4 linked regions of the Arabidopsis thaliana genome follow. The protein of the gene in region 3 binds, or shares a complex with, the protein of the main gene of each other region. Each region holds a gene or a part of one and is shown on either strand. Other genes may lie near its edges. The genes, in order: SnRK1.3, KIN10, KING1 and AKINBETA1.

What was found.
Region 1: KING1 (region 3) and SnRK1.3 share a complex: the UniProt entries of both Arabidopsis thaliana proteins name them as parts of the probable heterotrimeric complex.
Region 2: KING1 (region 3) and KIN10 share a complex: the UniProt entries of both Arabidopsis thaliana proteins name them as parts of the probable heterotrimeric complex.
Region 4: KING1 (region 3) and AKINBETA1 share a complex: the UniProt entries of both Arabidopsis thaliana proteins name them as parts of the probable heterotrimeric complex.

The regions. Positions count from the first base shown.
Region 1 is NC_003076.8:15,780,026-15,785,209, reverse strand, and holds SnRK1.3 (SNF1-related protein kinase 1.3), read right to left. Parts: upstream 3,304-5,184; coding exon 3,114-3,303; intron 2,664-3,113; coding exon 2,479-2,663; intron 2,379-2,478; coding exon 2,196-2,378; intron 2,102-2,195; coding exon 1,973-2,101; intron 1,896-1,972; coding exon 1,710-1,895; intron 1,624-1,709; coding exon 1,534-1,623; intron 1,445-1,533; coding exon 1,355-1,444; intron 1,258-1,354; coding exon 1,132-1,257; intron 987-1,131; coding exon 795-986; intron 625-794; coding exon 511-624; downstream 1-510. UniProt on the Arabidopsis thaliana protein: Catalytic subunit of the probable trimeric SNF1-related protein kinase (SnRK) complex, a central regulator of cellular energy homeostasis, which, in response to seemingly unrelated darkness, sugar and stress conditions, activates energy-producing pathways and inhibits energy-consuming processes.
Region 2 is NC_003074.8:30,643-36,335, forward strand, and holds KIN10 (SNF1 kinase homolog 10), read right to left. Parts: upstream 3,846-5,693; 5' UTR 3,502-3,845; coding exon 3,436-3,501; intron 3,339-3,435; coding exon 3,146-3,338; intron 3,022-3,145; coding exon 2,837-3,021; intron 2,735-2,836; coding exon 2,552-2,734; intron 2,460-2,551; coding exon 2,328-2,459; intron 2,212-2,327; coding exon 2,026-2,211; intron 1,935-2,025; coding exon 1,845-1,934; intron 1,736-1,844; coding exon 1,652-1,735; intron 1,579-1,651; coding exon 1,441-1,578; intron 1,356-1,440; coding exon 1,119-1,355; intron 909-1,118; coding exon 795-908; 3' UTR 539-794; downstream 1-538. Other genes in the region: AT3G01085 (Protein kinase superfamily protein), read left to right, coding at 170-180; HYP1 (hypothetical protein 1), read right to left, coding at 4,371-4,499, 4,680-4,913, 5,210-5,485, 5,572-5,693. UniProt on the Arabidopsis thaliana protein: Catalytic subunit of the probable trimeric SNF1-related protein kinase (SnRK) complex, a central regulator of cellular energy homeostasis, which, in response to seemingly unrelated darkness, sugar and stress conditions, activates energy-producing pathways and inhibits energy-consuming processes.
Region 3 is NC_003074.8:17,985,503-17,990,291, forward strand, and holds KING1 (SNF1-related protein kinase regulatory subunit gamma 1), read left to right. Parts: upstream 1-1,875; 5' UTR 1,876-2,056; coding exon 2,057-2,261; intron 2,262-2,643; coding exon 2,644-2,816; intron 2,817-2,934; coding exon 2,935-3,090; intron 3,091-3,183; coding exon 3,184-3,459; intron 3,460-3,537; coding exon 3,538-3,701; intron 3,702-3,789; coding exon 3,790-4,090; 3' UTR 4,091-4,261; downstream 4,262-4,789. Other genes in the region: AT3G48540 (Cytidine/deoxycytidylate deaminase family protein), read right to left, coding at 4,296-4,370, 4,472-4,573, 4,773-4,789. UniProt on the Arabidopsis thaliana protein: Regulatory subunit of the probable trimeric SNF1-related protein kinase (SnRK) complex, which may play a role in a signal transduction cascade regulating gene expression and carbohydrate metabolism in higher plants.
Region 4 is NC_003076.8:7,203,902-7,209,003, forward strand, and holds AKINBETA1 (5'-AMP-activated protein kinase beta-2 subunit protein), read left to right. Parts: upstream 1-1,765; 5' UTR 1,766-1,816; coding exon 1,817-2,014; intron 2,015-3,264; exon of another isoform or gene 3,265-3,322; coding exon 3,323-3,433; intron 3,434-3,521; coding exon 3,522-3,697; intron 3,698-3,778; coding exon 3,779-3,941; intron 3,942-4,023; coding exon 4,024-4,338; 3' UTR 4,339-4,595; downstream 4,596-5,102. UniProt on the Arabidopsis thaliana protein: Regulatory subunit of the probable trimeric SNF1-related protein kinase (SnRK) complex, which may play a role in a signal transduction cascade regulating gene expression and carbohydrate metabolism in higher plants.

The sequences.
Region 1 (5,184 bases), on a different chromosome or scaffold from region 3:
GAGGAGAAATAAATTGTGTGTCTGACTGAGGAGTTTCTCGTGAAGCTCCATGAGAGTTGGTTGTGTATCTTTGGTCTTTAGTTTGATCAATCACCGATTTGTAATCTCTTAGAAGGTAAATATATATTCAACTTGATCTGTGATCAATCACTTTGCTAAACAGAGTTAATTGATCAAATGTGGTTTCATTAAATTATATTTTAGAAATATAAAAAAATCTATGAAAATGCATGTACTGTGTGTTTTTCAAACAAAATTGGCATCATAAATCGAGAAAGTGTAAAAAGTACATGCATTTTCCAAAACTTAATGCAAAAAAAAATACAATCTATCTTCTTTTTTTTTTTGTTTATTGTCAAGGATTACTTAATCCATAAATACAGAAACATAGAAAACATAATTGAATTTAAAACATTGAAGCAATAATCATCGAAAAAACATTGATGAAATGAGCTTTAGAGGACCTAGCTAACCGCAATAATCATCTAAAACACCAGTGATGGTTGAGCTTTAGAGGACACCTAGCTCTCTGAGAAACGCAACACATAGATCAAAGAAGATAAACTGAGGTCCATCAATTCTTAGGATGTCCAGCAAATATTTGCCTTCGCGTACTTTGTATAGCTATAACAACAACCAAAATGATACAAATTAGGTTTGCATTTAAGAAATTGCTCTAAATAGATTTTAACAATGTAAATTGTTGATAATTTTATATTCGCATCAAAACAAAAAAAATTGTTATTTATGGACTATTAAATTATAGTATAATATCTTAAATTGGATAAATATACCTGAATTTCAAATTTGATGACGGTCGGTAAGATGATGGCACATTCATCCTCAATTGTATGATTCTTATAGTAAGCAAAGCTTCGGACCCATCTACATTTTATATTGTAGAGTCCGATTTTTTTCCAGCATATTTTTAGATTTTGAAGAGCTTTAAAAATTTCAGTCATGATATCATAAGGACTCCCTTGAGACTGTCAAAATTCCAAACAATTATTTTGATATATATATTGATAAACTGTTTTGAATAGAAAGAAAATTAAGAAAACATGAGACGAAATTGAATGCTAAAGTAACATGAACAACAATGGATTAAACATTAACCATGCATGGACTAACCTGAAGTCCAAGGGTCCATGTTTTGTCATCTTTGACATTGGATTTTAGTCCATACAATGCCGAAAATGAATGGCCAACATGTGAAGTAATATTTTGAACTGGTAACGTCGAATTAAATATACCATCCTATATTTGTAGGATTAAAACGAAAATATAATTATATAGAGAAGTAATGTTTATTTATTTTTCTTAAATTCAGGTTGTAGAGAAAGAGAGTAAGTACCGAAATCTCTTTAAACTTGGATTGGAAAGGGTCATTGGGAACAGAATTTTGGTTTCGGTTGTCTAGGATTAGATGGTATGCAACTGTAGCCTAAAGTAACGAAATTTAACTTGAGTATCATTTATAAAACTATTTTGAGTATAATAGGATTATTATATGAAATATGAAAACACTCATACCTCGTTTTGGATTCTATTGGCAAGAGAATCAACAACATGGTTTCTATCAAACCCTATGTTAACCACGTTTTGAATTATCTCCTCCTCAATCTAGAAAGAGTAAAATTGATACAAAATTAACTGAATTCATAAAAATGATGTTATTTTGGTACAATTTAATGAAAACAAATTCTAACCTTTTTAGCTTGGTCTATGGTATCTAATGGAGGAATAGAAAGATAAAGAGGAAGATGATTATTGAACCAAGGATGTTGACGAATCTCAGTAATGCTAATTCTCATAGTAGGATCAACCATAAGCATTCTCGGTATCAAATCTCTAGCAAAATGTGATAAATGATTTGGAAGAGTATACATTCCTCTCTAAAGAAATAGAGAAAAAATTCATAACCATGTGTAATATATATGATTTTTATAAAAAGATCGTTGTTTATTAATACCTTTATTTTCTCGAATACATTAGGAATATTTTCGTCATCGAAAGGAAGAGTACCACACAACAGAGCATATAATATCACCCCACAACTCCATATATCTACATCTGGTCCATATGGTTTTCCTGAAATAACCTATATAAATAAGTTTCAGGTGTGAGTAATTGATACTTCAAATATATATCCAAATTCATGAAATAAAAATGAAGAATATGTTAATCTCTTATACCTCTGGAGCAGCATAATTAGGGCTTCCACAACTAGTCTTTAAAAAATGACCATCATGCATGACATTACTCAATCCAAAGTCAACAATCTTTATGTTGCATTGCGAATCCAAAAGCACATTCTCGGGCTTAAGATCTCTATGAACGATCATATTGCGATGACAATACTCTACACCAGATATGATCTGAGAATATATGGTTTAAATAAAAGTGTTGCCAATCGAAAAGGATATAAGGTTTTATGAAATACAAAATGTTTGGATAAATACTATATATATACCAAACCTGCTGAAAAAGATGACGAGCCTCGTCTTCCTGTAATTTACCTTTCTCTACAATATAGTCAAATAGTTCTCCAGACTTAACATATTCCATCACAACATAAATGTCATTTGGCGTCTCTATAACTTCATATTGACGGATGATATGAGGATGCATCAAAAATCTGAGAATTTTGATCTCCCTTTGTACTACAAGAGACTTAAACAATTTCATTTATTAAGATTACTAATAAATAACAACGATTATATAAGACATAAAGCGTAATATTTTTTTGCCACATAAAGTAGTCCAAAAAAAAAAACAAATCATAACAGTGACCTATATTAATGAACAGTCTTTCGGCTTCGAGACCTAAGATTCGGATAAAGTATTTTCGTAGAAAAAAACAGATTTTAAAATAAAAATATTTTTCTGATTTCTCAGTATTAAAATACAATCCATACCAAATAAACTTGTAATTATATTATCAAAACCAAAAATTATTGATCATGGTGGTTGCCGAAATCTCGTAGACCTATTAGATCTCGTGAAGAAAAATAAAGATACATCTATATATACATTTAGAGAGGTGTTATACCTCCTCTAATCTTTTGTACAAATGAAAAAAGAGTAACAAAATTGAAGTAAATAATACATACCTTTGATCTCAATACCCATGTTCTTAATCTTAGAGCGATTAAGAATTTTGATAGCAACTTTGTGACCAGTAGCTACATGCAGTGCTAATTTCACTTTCGCAAAGGATCCATGTCCAAGAGTCTTACCAATCCTATAATTTGGTAGAATCGATACTAATTTATTGGTAGTTTTTTCCGATGATCCATCCATTTTAATTACTATAGATAATAAAACCTGAAATATAAAAAAGAAATATATAATTAAACCTCTATAACAAAAATATATATCAAGGTAAAATATCAATAAAATGGACGGATTATGAGAAAAAAACTACCTATAAAATGAACAATAAAAAATAATTGATGGTGAATCTAACTAGAAAATCCACCAAAAGGTGATACGCCCCAAATCAAAATCATATTTTAGCAAAATTCATTTCGTTCACTATATGAATAGGTCCCCTAGTTGAAGGAAGAAATTTGTGGTTTGACTGATTGTCTAAACCGATAAAAATCAGTAAATTTTCATAAAATTCATAGATTTTGTTTCTAACAAAAACCTTCAAATTGAACAGAATTTTTTTTGGAAAAATGATTTAGACGTAGAAGACTCTTAACATAATCTTATAGAGTATGGTTGATGCAAGAAAAAAATGGAACCCATGATACAAATTATATGAGCATGCACACGAAAAATTGCACCACTAGAAAATTGAGGAAAAGTACAAGAAAAGAGTCTATGGGCACATATATTATCATCTTTCCTTTGTTTTTACTCTCCTTTGCTGAGGTAAATCTGAGTCACACTGTTGACTAATGGTATCACACTTTTTTCATGAATCATATTAAACAATAAATTAATTTACACACAACCATGTTAAGAAGTAGATCAGTTTCTGTTTTAACTTAATAGTAATTACCTAATTATGACAAAAATATAAAATATATTAGTAAAATGGTTAGATTTTAATATTTTATACAGTTTTTAGAATCTAATTATTCAACATTTTGAAGACAGAAATATCTTTCCTGATATACAAGTTGCCATTAATGTGAGTGGGTACTTTGACTAACCATACAATGAATATTTCTTTCTTATTTTAATTTAGAATATACATATATAAAGAAAATTTCCAACGGAGAATGTTTTGTAAGAAATTAGAAAAAATCAATGAGTTTTTATTGGTGAGATATTTAAATAGTAATAATAATCTTTAATTTGAAGTAGATTTACTAGTTAATACTTTTAAATATTGTGATTTAGATTTTTGTGATGAGAGATAAATTTTTAATACGTACTGAAAAAAGTGTAACACCCTTTTTACATTTCCATAAAAATTAGATTATACATTTAAAAAGATTTTTTTGTATTATAAATATTTTTTTATAAGTTATTATATAACTAAAACTAAAATTACTATTCAAAACCGCGATGAAATGTTCAAAATAGTGTATTTTTGTGGGAAACGAGAAAAGCCTAAGACTATATCTTCTTTGCATGCCCTTTCACATACACTAAAATATGGCTAGATCTTGTTGAAAGAGTCATTAGAACTGCCACAGACCCATAGATTAGCTGATTTTTTTTTTTTCAATTTATGTTCAGTTCAGTTCTATTATCACTATGAACCATTTTATCGGGTTTGCCAAAAAAAATTCATGTATGTAAAAAATTCGTCAAGATTTGTCTAACTTTTTATTTTTAAAGTAAAAGATAAAAAATCAATGATAATCGTTAGGAAATAGACAACACCATGGAGATGGTAAACAAGTAAACAAATAAACATTACTTTATTTGGTATATGATTGAAACAATTTATTTGGATTATTTATTAAGTCTGTTTTTTTTTCTTTTAAACTAAATTAGTTTTTTTTACCAAAAAAAGACAAATATAACTTCAAAGTGGAGGTGTATGCTAGAAAATAAATGGACAACAGAAAAAGACTAAAACAATACATTAAATTTGAACAAATCTGTATATGTAATCAAAAAAAATATCAGTGTGCCTCGTGTCCTCCTGAATCGCTAAGAAAAGGATTATTGCCACAAGAAAAGGATTATTGCCATAAAATTTTCAACAGAAGAGACCTG
Region 2 (5,693 bases), about 18 Mb from region 3:
CATATTTGTTTAATTTTTCATTTAAAAAAAAAAGCCCAAGTCAGTGTGAAATTATTCAATTTCAGGTTTACCAAAAGATAATTGTGTCTTTTTTTATTATTATTACAAATTTCCTTGTATTTTTGTGAGAGTTTATCTCACACTTGATGTGTTTTTTTTTTTTTTGCAGGAGAAGATTAACTGGTAGGTAAAACCACACGTTGGAAACTTTTGAAATTCTTTTTGGGCTTGTTTTTGAGTTTGTATAGTTTTTGGATCTTAGTTCGAAATAAACACATCAAGCTCATCCTAAATGTTCGTTTTTCAATGTCTTAATATTAGTAGGATGACAAAAACAAAAAACAACTATTTTTGAATTTGCTAATTTGTTTACACAAAAAATATAGTGTAATATTGACCCATCAAATAATACACGAAACAAAAACAACTACTTCTGAATTTGCTAATTTGTTTTCAATGAAACTAATTTAAACATCTTTCCTTCAATTTTTGTCAAAATGTCTTTCCCTTAACTTATTGATTTTAATCATAAGAAATATGGAGTAAACAAAAACAAAAATCAATCTTGGTGGCATGATGCACTACAAGTTATGTACAAAGTGTCTTTTTTTTACTCTTGCTCAGTCTTACATTTAAGTTAAAAGAGGTATTTGAGTAGAGCACGCATATAGAAATAGAAAGAAAGAGAAGAAGAAAAAAAGGGTTACGTTTTCTAAATAATTTCTTAGACGAATAAGAAAAAAAAAAAAAAAGGAATAAGTGGGGATTATTCTTGAAGAGGTCCGGTTTAGTATTCAGAGGACTCGGAGCTGAGCAAGAAAAGCAGCACACAGATCCAAGAACAAGAACTGAGGACCTTGTACTCTCTGCAAATCCAGTAGATACTTGTCGTCCCGAGTTTTATACAACTGTTTCACCATCAACAATAACAAACGTCATCAAGCCCAGAAAATATTGATTGATAGTTAGATTCATGAAGATTCACTCTAGTTCTAATTCAGTTACAAAAATGGCCATGGACACTAATACACAAAGCTTTCTTTCACTCGAAATCACACATCAGAAACAATGTCGTACGGGAAACCGATATGTATCATGAAGTGGAGAAGAGGATTTACCTGAATTTCAAACTTGACAACATTGGGCGACTTAACAGCTGCTTCGTTCTCTATTATGCTGGACTCGTCTCCAAAGTAGTTGTTATCGTGCATCGAGTTACTGAGCATACCATCTGCGCTGCTGTTAGGAACCCATCTGCACTTCATGTTGTAGTGCCCTATCTTCTTCCAACATACATTCAAATCTTGCAGGGCTTTCAGGACTTCCGTCATTATTTCACGGGGATGAGCCCGAGACTGTGCGATCAAATTGTTACAATATTAATCACATATATATCAAAAGCTGAAGTCTTTATACCATAAATACAGAAAATATCAAAACCTGAAGTCCAAGAGCCCATTTTCTCTCAACAGGGTATTGAGATCTCAAGCCAACTCCTTGATATTCCATCAGTCCTGGAAGCCGATGGCTAACAGGTGAAGCAACGCTTTCTGCTGGATGCATACGGGGAGTACCTTCCTGATTAAATCAAACAATGAAGCATTACGTCAAAGATCTTTTGCTAAAGTCGAAAAGGACAAAAAAGACTAACCATGGTCTCTTGAAACTCAGCCCCGAGATAACCACTAGAGGCACGGAAACGATTGTCCAGTATCAGATAGTACGTCACAGTGCCCTGGAAGACAGTCGGTAAGAATACAGTATTTAAGATCTTTTGATGGAATTTTTTTTAATCTTTGAAATGAAAGAAACAGCAAAAGAACAAGTGGGTGGGAAACACATACATCATTCTGGGTTCGGTTGCGGAGCGATTCGATGAGGTGGTTTCTGTCAAATCCCATATTGATAACTTCTTGGAGAATCTCCTCGTCAATCTACAAATGAAGACAGCGCTTTTACGCCTTTATCGAAAAATGGGAATAGAGATTTCTCTAATGAAAATAAGAGTAGATACGTTAGGCTTACCTTTTTTGCCTGTTGCACAGTATCTGGAGGAGGAACAGCTAAATACCTCGGAAGATGAGCTTGGAACCAAGGGTGTTGCCGGATCTCAGGGATGGTTACTCGTTTCATGGGGTCAACTACAAGCATCCGGGGGATCAAATCTCTAGCACCAGGAGATAAATGGCTAGGTAATGTGTATATCCCTCCCTATAGGACGAAAAGAGAAAAAAAAAAGGTTACAGTCGAAGGGTGATACGAAAAATAAAATAAAAAATTCAAGCATTAGTTCAAATAGACGAAAGAGGAGGAGTAATAGAATGTACCTTTATCTTCTTAAAAAGGTTGGGAATGTTTTCATCATCAAATGGAAGCGTCCCACAGAGAAGAGCGTAGAGTATCACACCACAGCTCCAGACATCTACTTCAGGGCCAGCATATAACTTGCCCGAAATTACCTGAAACAATTTATAGATCTCGACTATAACCTATCATTTGAAACAAGCCTAATTATAGTATTCCTCAGATACCTGAGGGCTGAAGCACTTACCTCTGGAGCGGCATAATTTGGACTTCCACAACTTGTCTTCAAAAAATGACCATCTCGCATTATGTTGCTCAGGCCAAAATCAGCAATCTTTACATTGCATTTAGAGTCCAAAAGCAAGTTTTCAGGCTTGAGGTCTCTGTGAACCACCATGTTTCGATGGCAGTATTCCACTCCTGATATTATCTACATCAAAGCCAAGTAGCTAATTCTTAACTCTCAAATATAATATAAAATCGAATGGTTGCTTGGAAAGTTACATGTTGATAAAATAAAATAAAAACATACCTGCTGAAAAAAGTTCCTCGCCTCATCCTCCTGCAATCTACCCTTCTCAACAATATAGTCAAATAGCTCACCAGAGTTCACATACTCCATGACAAGATAAATATCTGTGGGAGTCTCTATAACCTCATAGAGACGGATGATGTGAGGATGCATAAATAGTCTCAAGATTTTGATCTCTCTCCTCACTGCATCAAAGACCAAATAAGTTCAAAGGAAGGAAGACGAAAAAGAAGCTATATATTTATATATTCCAAGAGTACCGTGAAGTCACAACTAAGGTGGAATGGATACACAAAACAAAACTTGTACCTTTCTCCTCCATCTCCATGTTCTTGATTTTGCGACGATTGAGGATCTTGATAGCAACCTTATGTCCTGTCAATGCATGCTCAGCTATCTTCACCCTACCAAAGGAACCAATACCAAGAGTTCTCCCAAGCTTGTAATTTGGTAGAATCGATTCTACCCCACTTCTACTGCCTGTGCCTGATCCATCCATTCTCTACAAAAAAAGAGAGAGAGATATTAGATCTACTAGTACACAACACACAAAACAAACTGCAAAAGAGTAATAGGAACAAAAAGCAAGTAATTTTTACACTTTTGAAGATTCTGTGATCGATCGTTGAAGAAACTAAATTAAACTCATCTACTCGTTTGAACATGAGAATTTAGCGAGAATTAGGATCCCTTTTATTATCCAGAATAAACCAACCAACACTAAGAAGAGAGCTTAAAATAGCAATTTTCAGACTATCCCCAATTCGGAATATGAACCCTAATAATAATTCAATCGCAGAGGATTACTGGATCTCTCGTACCCGATTCAGAAATGACGATTTCAAGATCAATCCATTGATTTGCAAAAGGGCGAGAATTTTTTTTATTTCCGAAATAAGAAAATTGAGAGATATCGAAACTTACCAAAAATTAAAAAAGGCGGAGGAGAAAATTCGGAACCAAAAAATGCAGCAAAAAAAAGTCCCAAAATTTTCTGAGCTGAAAAAGTAAAATTGAGGAAGATCCAGAGATCAGCTTAAACCCAGAAATTATTGATAGATTCTTCCTCTCGCTTTCATTGCTCTCGCTCCTGTAGCCTATAAGGCGCAAGCAAGTATCAAAGACGAAATTATTTGATTTTTGGTTCCATAAACGGATCAATCTTTAACTAAATTACCCCCAGAGTTACGACTAATTACAATATATACCCCCATGCGGACGTGGCATCTAGTCATCATCTTTTTGCTAAATATTCTCTGTGGTAAAATTATTAACCACCGTTTTGTTTTGGCATCTTTCAAAAAGTTTGTACCGTCTTAAACCGGTTTAGAGAGATACATTGACATAAACTTTTTTTCTTTTTTACACAAGCCAAGTGTAAGCAAATGTACAAGACAAAAACCGCTTGATTCTCGGTTAAGACCCAATGTACAAGACAACCGGTTTAGTGTGTTCTTTCATGGATTGCACCAGGTATAGTAAACCAACAGCTTCAACATAAGCAAACTTCAATAGCTCAAGTAAAAAGGTGATCTCAAGGTGAGATATCTCTCGAGTCCTGTGATGCCGAAAGTGCAGGATCTCGGTAAGCAACAACGAGTTCCGAATAGAATTCAGACATGTTTTGCTCTCTCTCGTCTGCTTTATCTTTGTTTACCAGACACTGCAAAAGTAAAACATCCATCATCACCATATAAAGGTTTAGAGTAGATGCTGTAATGTAATAAAGGACTATGCATCATGTTCTGTTTGTTTTGTTTAGGTTAGGAATAAAAGATTATCTAGCCATATTTTTCTTCCATTGGATCAAAAATATGAGTAACTATTTCTCTAAAGCCTTTACCTGGGTAGGATAAGATTTGAAATTTGGTAAAAACCGTCTTTGGCAGTAAATGCTGAAAAGGACCGTGAGAACCGGAAGGGGAATTGTTAAAGAAGATGCCACTGGAAGCTCTTTAAGCCCGAATAATCCGACTGCAATAATGTGCATTAGTACCAAAGAGAAGATAGTATAGCTGTGAACTATTGGCCAAAACTTTCCACCAGTTTCATACTTGGCCGCATATACGTTTAGGAGCTGCAGCACAAAAAGGTGATGTTATTTCTATCAACAAGTTGCAATGGATTCATTAAGAAGAAAAAGAATTATGTGACGAGAAAATGGATTCTTGATGTAACGTTTATGTCATGACTGAAGCTCCAAAAAATACTTTCGGTTTAAAGATGCTATTCGAGAATTTAGAAAAGGGATCACATATAAAGAGAAGATAAAAGTGAGATTCCATATAACGAAAATATGTGTAGCTGATTCCTATATGATTTTATCAGAGATCAACAGAGAATTATACTTAGGAGTGAGATTGGTTCCGTTACCTGGTTGCGGTAGATGATATATCCAAGACAATAGTAGACCAACAAGAAAGGCAGTATCAATGGCGAAAGGAAGAAGTAAGTTATACCGAGGAGTCCAAAAAATAGAATCCTTGGGATTTCTTGGCAGAAAGGAGTTGAAGGAACCTCAAATTCTTTGTCATCTTCCTTGCCGAAAAGTTTCGTTATGAAACTCCAAAGAAGAGGAACCAAACGGAGGATCTCTGATGATAAACCAGTCCATCCAGAGGTCACAACATAAGATACAAAGAACGATGCCTACACCAAAGATTAAACAATAAACATGACTCGTGGTACGAAAAGGGAATTCCGGAAACCTCAATACTGAATTTTGTGTTCTTTACCTGTGCTGGCACAGCTGCAGCAAGCACACGAGGAATAGTCTTAGGTTCAAGGAACACATTAACACGATAAAGGGCAGATCCGGACAGTACATTTGCAAAGAAACTGTTCCATACAGTAAAGA
Region 3 (4,789 bases):
AGTTTCTTAACATGTTCAGGTCATCTATAAGGCAAGTAAAACACATGCTTAAGTCATAAAATAGAATCTAAAGAGACATTATTCTGAAATGATCAACTTGGTCTACTTAGCCTAATTTTAAGTCAATACATACAAATTTGATCTCTCTAACTATATTTGTTTTTCTCTTTCTAGTGTTCTTTTTCTTTCCAATATATATACATAGCATATTTTGAATTCTTTTTGTTTTATGGAGTAACGTCAAATATTATAATAGCCGCATATAAAATTAGAATTTATTAAATATTAATTTATAACTTTTTTATTGTAGACAATTATTTTAGGAAAGCAAAGTATATTTAGACGAAAATAGTATTAGGATGAATAATTTTTTGAAAGTCCTAATGTTGCATATTTTTTGTTTTGGTGAACAAATTTCGTGTTGTAGTTCTTAAACATCTATACTATTAATTGGGAATCATTGAAAATAAACAACCTTACGAAGGGTAAAATATTACAAAAATACTATTGATTGTTAGTATTTTTAAATAAATTCTGATTAATTTAAAATAATTATAATTATGCTTTACATTTAGAAATATATAAACAATAAATTGTACATACTTATTTTGAAATATTTTGGTTTTCTTTTTTCTTTTTTTCAACCTGATTTTTTTTTAAATAAATCCATAATATATTATTGAACAAACTTTTGAAATAATGTAAACTAATACATTTTTCATTCAAAACAAATTATCCAACAAAAATAATTTGGATTATGAGTACTATATAAAATAATTTGAAACCAAACTTGACATCAAATTAAATATCTAACTGGTATGAGTTTGGGTTATGAACACTATATAGCATGTACGTATTTTGTGACACAAATTCTATTTGTGATGTTTACAGGTTGGTAGTATTTTTTTTCCACATATACAGACGGGTTATGAGACGAAAAATTTATGATACATACATCACAGGTTTTCCATTCCAAGAAATATAAGTCAAATATACGTTTTTATTTTCTAAACTAATCAAAACATTATAACTGTTATAACAGTAATCAAAACATTATAACAGTTTGATTACTGGTGTAAAATAGGATATAAATTTGGTTTTAGTTTGGGTTATTTATCTGTGTGAATTCGGATCTTAAAATATAATTATATACCAACATAATTGAATTTCGATTATTATTCTTAACTTTATAATATTTATACTATTACAAAGTTTAATTATAACAAAATATTATATATTTTAAAAATCTATTTAAAAAGTTCTATTTTATATGTATATGAGATTTCAAATATCTAATATATTGTATTATAATATATATTACAAAATAAAAAAAAATAATTTACATTGAATTAAAAATATGAATCCGCACATACGTAAAAGTTAGGATCTAGTAATTTGTATAAAAAAGAAAGAAGAAGATAGTTATCCATTTCATAGGTCGGCTGCTAATTTTTGGCGGATTTCTAATAATTATATACAATCCAATTAAATAAATGAAATATGTCGTGGAAAGTGGAAACTATATAAAGGATAGAGATAAGTACGACTTCGACAAATGGAGATATATTATCATTATTATTATTATAATCATTATCTTTCGCTATTCCTGACCAATACCCAAATGATCTCCGCTACTCTTTCCACGTGTCAAAAGCACTGAATTGAACGGATGAGATCTTAAGTCACTAACCAAAACAACACTTGAATTTTTTTATAACAAATCACAGTTCCACCCAATGAAATCCATTTTGTTTCAAAATAAACCCGTATCTTTATAATGAAACTGAAAGATTCAAGGATGTTTTTGATAAATTAAAAACTATGTAGGGCTTCATTCATAAGATTTAAGACAACAGGGTTTATGAATTTGTCTCTGCTTCACGATCTCTCTACTATGGTGTACTGTATCTTTCAATCTATAGTTCAGTTACAAAGATCATCACAGCCAATTTTAGAAAACTTCTGACGGAAAATAAAAAGAGAGGATTTATTTTTATCTTTCTGTGTTACCGGAGAATAAAGACGGTACCTTTTCACTGTTGACTTAACGGAGAAGATGGCGACTGTTCCGGAGATAAAGATAATGAGAAGCGAGAGCTTAGGTCATCGGAGTGACGTGTCGAGCCCGGAAGCTAAGCTAGGGATGCGTGTGGAAGATCTCTGGGATGAGCAGAAACCACAGCTCAGTCCTAACGAGAAGCTCAACGCTTGCTTTGAGAGCATCCCTGTCTCTGCTTTCCCTCTCTCTTCTGATTCACAAGGTATGAGGATTTTGATGATGTGGGTGTTTGACCATGAGCTGATCTATAATTGGAACTGGTAATTGTGTTGAATTTGAATCATGTTCTATGGAGATTGATTTTGATTTTTGTGATGCAATTATTGATGGGTTCTGTGATCTCTTGGTATGTGTTTGTTGATGACTTGTAGTAGGAATATGTGCTGTGTGTTGAAATTCAAGTTATTGAAAGTTTTATAAGTCAGAATTTGGAATTCAATCCAGCTTGTTGGATACTCGAATCAGTTCGATTTAGGGAATCAGAATTAGTTCTTGATGGTTTTTGTTTCTTAGTCTCCTTGTAGAATCAGAGTACTTATTGATTCAGTTCTGCTGTCTCACATCTTTGTGGTTTCCCTATATAGATATTGAGATAAGATCAGACACAAGTTTGGCTGAAGCTGTTCAGACACTATCGAAATTCAAGGTCTTGAGCGCGCCTGTTGTAGATGTTGATGCGCCTGAAGATGCCAGTTGGATTGATCGCTACATCGGTATTGTGGAATTTCCAGGCATTGTTGTCTGGCTTTTGCATCAGGTAATTGTTCTCCAAAAAATACGAGAGGCGACTTGTTTTTGTCATGATCAAATTGGATTGTGGTACCTAGTGAACTATACTTCATGTCTGTACTCTACTTGTCTCCTTTAAAAAACAGTTGGAGCCACCATCTCCAAGGAGCCCTGCTGTTGCAGCTTCAAATGGATTTTCTCATGATTTCACCACCGATGTTCTGGATAACGGAGATTCAGCAGTAACTTCTGGAAACTTCTTTGAGGTCCTTACTTCTTCAGAGCTATACAAGAACACCAAGGTGAAGCTTGTTTTTTTATGAAGGACCTGATTTCAGTTGACTTTTTTCTCCTGATTACGGCTTCTGAAATGCGTTGGATATTCTCTCTGACAGGTTCGAGATATCTCTGGAACATTCCGCTGGGCACCGTTCCTGGCTCTGCAGAAAGAGAACTCCTTTTTGACCATGCTGTTACTTCTTTCTAAATACAAAATGAAGAGCATCCCGGTGGTTGATTTAGGTGTAGCAAAGATCGAGAACATTATCACACAATCAGGAGTTATACATATGCTGGCAGAATGCGCGGGGCTTCTCTGGTTTGAGGATTGGGGAATCAAAACTCTCTCTGAAGTCGGTCTTCCCATTATGTCAAAGGACCATATCATAAAGGTCAGTTTGTAATCTAACTCATAGCTCCATTGAGAGTTTTTTTTTTCCTTTTTTAACAGATCATTATTTCTCTTTCAGATCTATGAGGATGAACCAGTTCTTCAGGCATTCAAGCTGATGAGGAGAAAGAGAATCGGAGGCATACCTGTCATTGAAAGGAATAGCGAGAAGCCAGTAGGCAACATAAGCCTTAGAGATGTTCAATTTCTCCTCACTGCACCTGAGATCTACCATGACTACAGGTTAATACTTCACAAATCCTTGTGATGATGATACACCGAGTTTTGCAGCATTGTCAAATCTTCAATCCTTTCTCTCTCTTTATTTTAGGTCAATCACAACGAAGAACTTCTTAGTATCTGTTAGAGAGCATCTTGAGAAGTGCGGGGATACATCAGCTCCTATCATGAGTGGTGTGATTGCTTGCACGAAGAACCATACACTAAAGGAACTGATCTTGATGTTAGACGCGGAGAAGATCCATAGGATATATGTTGTGGATGATTTTGGTAACCTTGAAGGACTCATCACTCTTAGAGACATCATTGCAAGACTTGTCCATGAGCCATCCGGCTATTTTGGAGATTTCTTTGATGGTGTTATGCCTCTTCCCGAAAACTACCGAGTCTGAGAGAAAAATGGTATCTTTCTTCTGTAAATTGTCTTTTGTTTGGTGATAATGCTTCTGTCTGTTTGTGCTTAAGTTCTCGAAATTGTGTTATTAACGTTTAACAGAAATAAGAAAAGAAGAAAGAGCCTGTCTTTGAGTGAATATGTCTGAAATACAATAACTCTTAAGATTCTCGGATTTGGCCCTACATTTTGAATTTGAACAATTAGGTCTCTGGTTGGAGTAAGTGTTCTTCGAACTTGATCAAGATCTCATCCATCTCTGGTTGATGTTTCCTGACCTGAAAATTTTGGTTTCAGACAGATTTAGATACCAAATGAGACTTCCCATTACAATCACTGTAGAGAAATTTCATGTGGAAATCTAAGTGGCTTTAATTACTTTGACGTTTGCCATGGATAAGAGCTTGTGAGAAGCTACATAGGCAACATCTGAGTCATTTGGTCTCTTTTCCACAAAATAGATTACCTCAGCAACACCAGACTGCAAGAAAGAAAACCGAAATGACAAAAGTCCATATGATTGTGATGATCTACTTGCATCAAATTGGTTAATTGGACTAACTAGAACATTTGGTTTTTATATGACTGCTTAGCTGAAGACATTGACCATAAAAGATTACTAGAGTAGCTTATTAAGGATCCAAATTTGACAAATCAAGCCAATGGTATATAGAACAAACCTGTAAAATAATCTTGG
Region 4 (5,102 bases), on a different chromosome or scaffold from region 3:
GAATCAAAACAAGGAAGCGATTCAATTGGATCAAAAACAGAACGAGGATTGAAGGATCAGATGGAGAAGACGCAATGTGAGGAAGAGAGGTTGAAGAAGGAGGCAAGTGTGTGTGTGTGTTTTGGTGGCGACACTCTTTAAGGGAGGAATAAGCGAGGATGAAACAAACAGTGAAACGTATAACCCCAAAAACCCTAGTTACTTTCCTCTTTTTTTATATGTATATGTTTATTTTATATAGCAATTTCCTATTTTTCCTATTTGAAATTTGACAAAAAATAAGAATAATATTCATGATTTGTTTAATTACTAGTATTACAAATATCCTCTAATCTGGTCTTTATCCTTCGTAATTAAAAACATTCAATTTATTTCTTTTTAATTTTTGTTTTGAGAAAACATCATTTATGTAGGGTTTTAAAAAAATTTAAATTAACTTTATAAACTTATTTTCGTTAGACCTATTTATAACGCGTTTATTTATTAACCTTAGTTTATGTCCTTAAATAGATGTGTTAGAATTTGTGTAGCAATTCTAAGTTATTTTGTACTTTTAATGTGATCTAACAAACTTTTGTTACAACTAAGGATTAGTAGTTGGTAAAAGAGAACGAAGATAACTAGTTATCGCTCTTATAATCTCTTTATTGTTTTATTGTTTAATTCGTTTAAGTTATTTAATTATAATATTTAGTCTTTTAAAAATACGTGAAAAATTATCTGAATTGTTAATATACATATAATAATTTTTATATATATGATGGATATTAACGATGATTTCTGAGGTGAAAACTATTATCTTAATTTTTTTTTTGGGTGAGGCTATTATCTTAATTCTTCAATATGTGAACCTACGAAGAATAAAGTAATTGATGAAGATTTGAATGAATTTTTGTCTCTGAAAATGACATTTGAAGGTGTCTGTGGAAGATTTAGTGTCCACTAGATAAGATTTCTAAACAAAAGGTCAATATATTGATGAAAATTGAAGTGATTGAAATCAAGTTTTTCCAATGATAGTACACTCGTTTGAAGAAAATATGAGGTTGAATCAAAACCTTAGTTCAAAGTAAATGATAAAGCAAAAGCTGAAATCTTACAATTTGAAAGTGACCAATATACAATGCGAGAAAGCAAAAGAAAAAACAATGACTCAACCTATAAGGAAAGTGCATGACAATCACTCATGGCTTAGTGAATAGTGACCATCGCCTTTTACAAGTTTACATTGGCTTTGAAACCCTCCAAACTTTTCGAAACAATCTTTCGACCAATAACTAGTTTACGGGACTAACCAATACAAATCTTGGAAAATGATGATTCTTTGACCATCTCTATTCTAACCCCACCTATTGGAGTTTAAGGCCTTTTCATCGTCACGATACGCATACTATGATCACTGGCTCTAGCAAGATGTTAAGGCACACAAATCGGTGGCAAGGAGGTGACTGGCCCTTGTGTCATTATCCTTCTCAAAGGCATTGAACCAACTTTTTATTCACATTTGTTTATTATATACTAAAAGAAATAAACAAAAAAAAAGTGGATAATTATAAACTTTTGGACGCCAAGTCACTCGTTTATCCATTTGGTACGGATTTTAATGATATCTCTCTCTCAAGAGCCCCTTTTATGCAAAATCTCTTTTTCGCTACCAATGGCATTATTCGTAATTAACTTCTAACTTGAGGGGCGTTTCATTATCTCCTCCTCGTCGTCCTCCCTCCATTTTTCTTCACGTCTGGTTTTCTCTCTCTTTTCCTCTATCTCTCTCCTCTCTTTGTCTCTCTCGCTTCTGTGATTTGGGCTTTTTCAGATGGGAAATGCGAACGGCAAAGACGAAGACGCCGCCGCCGGTAGCGGTGGTGCAGATGTTACCTCGTCCTCGGCGAGATCTAATGGCGGCGATCCTTCTGCACGCAGTCGTCACCGTCGTCCTTCTTCAGACTCTATGAGCAGTTCTCCTCCCGGAAGTCCTGCTCGATCTCCATCTCCTTTCTTATTCGCTCCTCAGGTTCCCTCTCTCGAATATCTCTCTCTGTTTAATCGTTGAATTTGATTTCTGGTTTTGAATTGAATCGATTGAAACATTCGCCCAAAGAGATAATAGTAAGAGAATCTTTTTGATTTGTTTCGTTGAGTAAGAGAATGTTCGTTCACTTGACTTTTCATTTGTTTCACTAATTGTGAGACACTTTCTTCATTTAGATAGGATCCAAGTACAAAATCTCCAGCCTTTTTTTTATGAGTGAACTCTACTTGTTCACTTGATTTGTGTTATCCTGTTGGTTCTTGAGAATTTGTAATGTAGATTCTTGTTCTTAAAGCTTTTTTCTGAGTTGGGTTTAGAGATTCTGTACTAGAGAATCTCTTTTATTTTTGTGTTATCTTGGTTCAGGTATCTTGAAATAATGCATAATGTGGAAAAGTTTCTACCTTTCTTTAAGATGTTGTTTTGGTTTCCTAGCTATTTTTTCTTTATTTTCCAGCCGGTCTCTAGTCATTTACTGGTCGCTCATGATTCTTGATGTCCCTTAGTGAGTCTTTGTGTAATTTATCTTTGTTTCATTGTGAAGAGGGCAACTTTGCAGACTAAGTACGTTTGTGAATGAAATCTTTTGTATAAAGGAATTAGACTTGACTTGGTTTTGTTTGGTTCTTGAGAAGTCAAAAACTCTGGTAAATGACAAGGTAGCTAGTTACTCTTCCTTAGTTTTGGTGGAGAGAGAGAGAGAGGCTTAGATCACCTTATTGCTATGTCTTTTCCTTTTGGTGAGTTAAAATCTTGTTAATCATACTAGAGAATCTGCTTTAGAGAAGGTCTTATTTGTCTTCTGATTATGCCTCCATGCCTGGTGTGGAAAAGCGTATGGCAGTCAAATAGGATGATTATTGTCTCTCTAGGTTTTTATGCTGATTTTGACTTTCCTGCTGCTCTCTGGTCATTTACCAGTTACTGATACTGTTCTGTTGATTTGCATGTCGCATTGTGAGTCTTTTGTGTAATGTCTTTTGCTTTCATTTTTAAGAGGAGGGAGGGCAAGCTTGTTCTTTTCTTCGCCCTTTTTGAATTTAAACACGCAGAGCTTTTACTTGAACGAATTACAGATTTTGGATGTTTCGTCATTCTTCTCATTGTTCTTAATATGTGAATAATTCATAAGATAAGTGAAGGACAACCTTCTAAAATTGACCTTGTTATCAGGTTTTTGTGGGAATAGTGAAATATCTTTTGCTAATAAGGTCTTGTCTGTACTCTGTATGCGAGTAAATTTCTGAGTCTACTGTTGCTATATTCATTTTCGACTCCTTTTCTTTTCAGCCCACATTGTTATTCCACGTTACATCTTACAACATTTGCTCACCTATGCGTCACCTCTTCCATTGTTTAGGCTTAACATGTGTACCTAATGGCTGCATTTCGTGTCGGATGGTAGATATAATGTTTTGACATTCGCAAATTCTTCTTGCACATTGGTTTGTAAGATCTCACGGCTCAGTGTTTATGTGGATATTCTCAGGTTCCCGTGGCTCCATTGCAGAGAGCAAACGCCCCTCCTCCTAATAACATCCAATGGAACCAATCACAGAGAGTTTTTGATAATCCCCCAGAGCAAGGAATCCCTACCATCATTACATGGAACCAAGGAGGTAATGATGTGGCGGTGGAAGGATCATGGGACAATTGGAGATCAAGGTATAATTGACTTTGTTTCTCGTGGACCCTCTCTCGAGATTTCGTGATATATGTTAAAAACAATATGTTTACATTCACCAGGAAGAAGCTGCAGAAATCAGGGAAAGACCACTCGATTCTCTTTGTCCTTCCATCTGGCATATACCACTACAAGGTGATTGTGGACGGTGAATCCAAATACATCCCAGATTTACCCTTTGTAGCAGACGAAGTTGGCAATGTCTGTAACATTCTCGATGTTCATGTAAGTTACTTTCCCACCTCTTTTTTTCTCATGTTAAATCTATCAATCAGCTTAACAGTATCTGCAATCATTATGCATGCAGAACTTTGTGCCAGAAAACCCAGAAAGCATAGTGGAGTTTGAGGCGCCACCATCACCTGATCATAGCTACGGTCAAACCCTACCAGCCGCAGAAGATTACGCGAAAGAGCCACTGGCGGTGCCACCTCAGCTTCATCTAACACTTCTTGGCACTACTGAAGAGACAGCCATAGCCACAAAGCCTCAACATGTGGTGCTTAACCATGTGTTCATAGAGCAAGGATGGACTCCTCAATCCATAGTAGCTTTGGGTTTAACCCACAGGTTCGAGTCTAAGTACATAACTGTTGTCCTCTACAAACCGCTCACACGGTAACCCTAAAAATTCAGTGCCACATTGTTCTCTCTCTTTCTTTCTTTTTCATCTCTCAATTATGTGAAAACATGTTCTTTGTTCATAGTGACTAGTGAGTGCCCAACATTTGAGTTTATTAACCTCTTTCTTACCTGGTTTGTGGTGCTTGTGTACAAAGCTTCTCTCATTGTAACGATTGTTGTTTTATTTTCTGCAAAAACTGTAAAATACATTCGCTAATAATGGCTATAACAAGCTTATCTGCTAGCAACCAAACACATAAATCCTGTTTTTTTTCTTCTTCTGACAAAACGTTTGCGAAAGTGACAAATTTTTGAAAATAATCTTTCTTTTTGGTATTGGAAAAGGCTAACCAGTTTGAAAGTGTACTCATAATAAATCCACGTCGTCTATTTGATTGAAAATTTTAATTTGGATAAGAAAAAGATAAAAGAGAAATAAGGTGAGAAAAAGTGAGCCACACGATGGAGTATGGCGGAAGAAGCATCGACCGAGTAATTGAGACGCTCTGTTTCCAATTACTACTCTCTCGAGCTCCTCCGCTCTGCATTGTCGCCGAGAGTTCCTTTCTTGTCCGACAAACTACTTCTTCTCCTTCGATAAGCCAATTCTGCGCCATAGATTTTTGAAATCTACTGCCGGAAAGGCTGCATGCGATTTCAACTCCCTTTTCCCGGGACAATTCGCAGGTGTGTATTCCTGAAGCTCCGTTGTACTATACTACTATTCCATGTTTCACTTCGAACGAAGAATCAATCATTCGG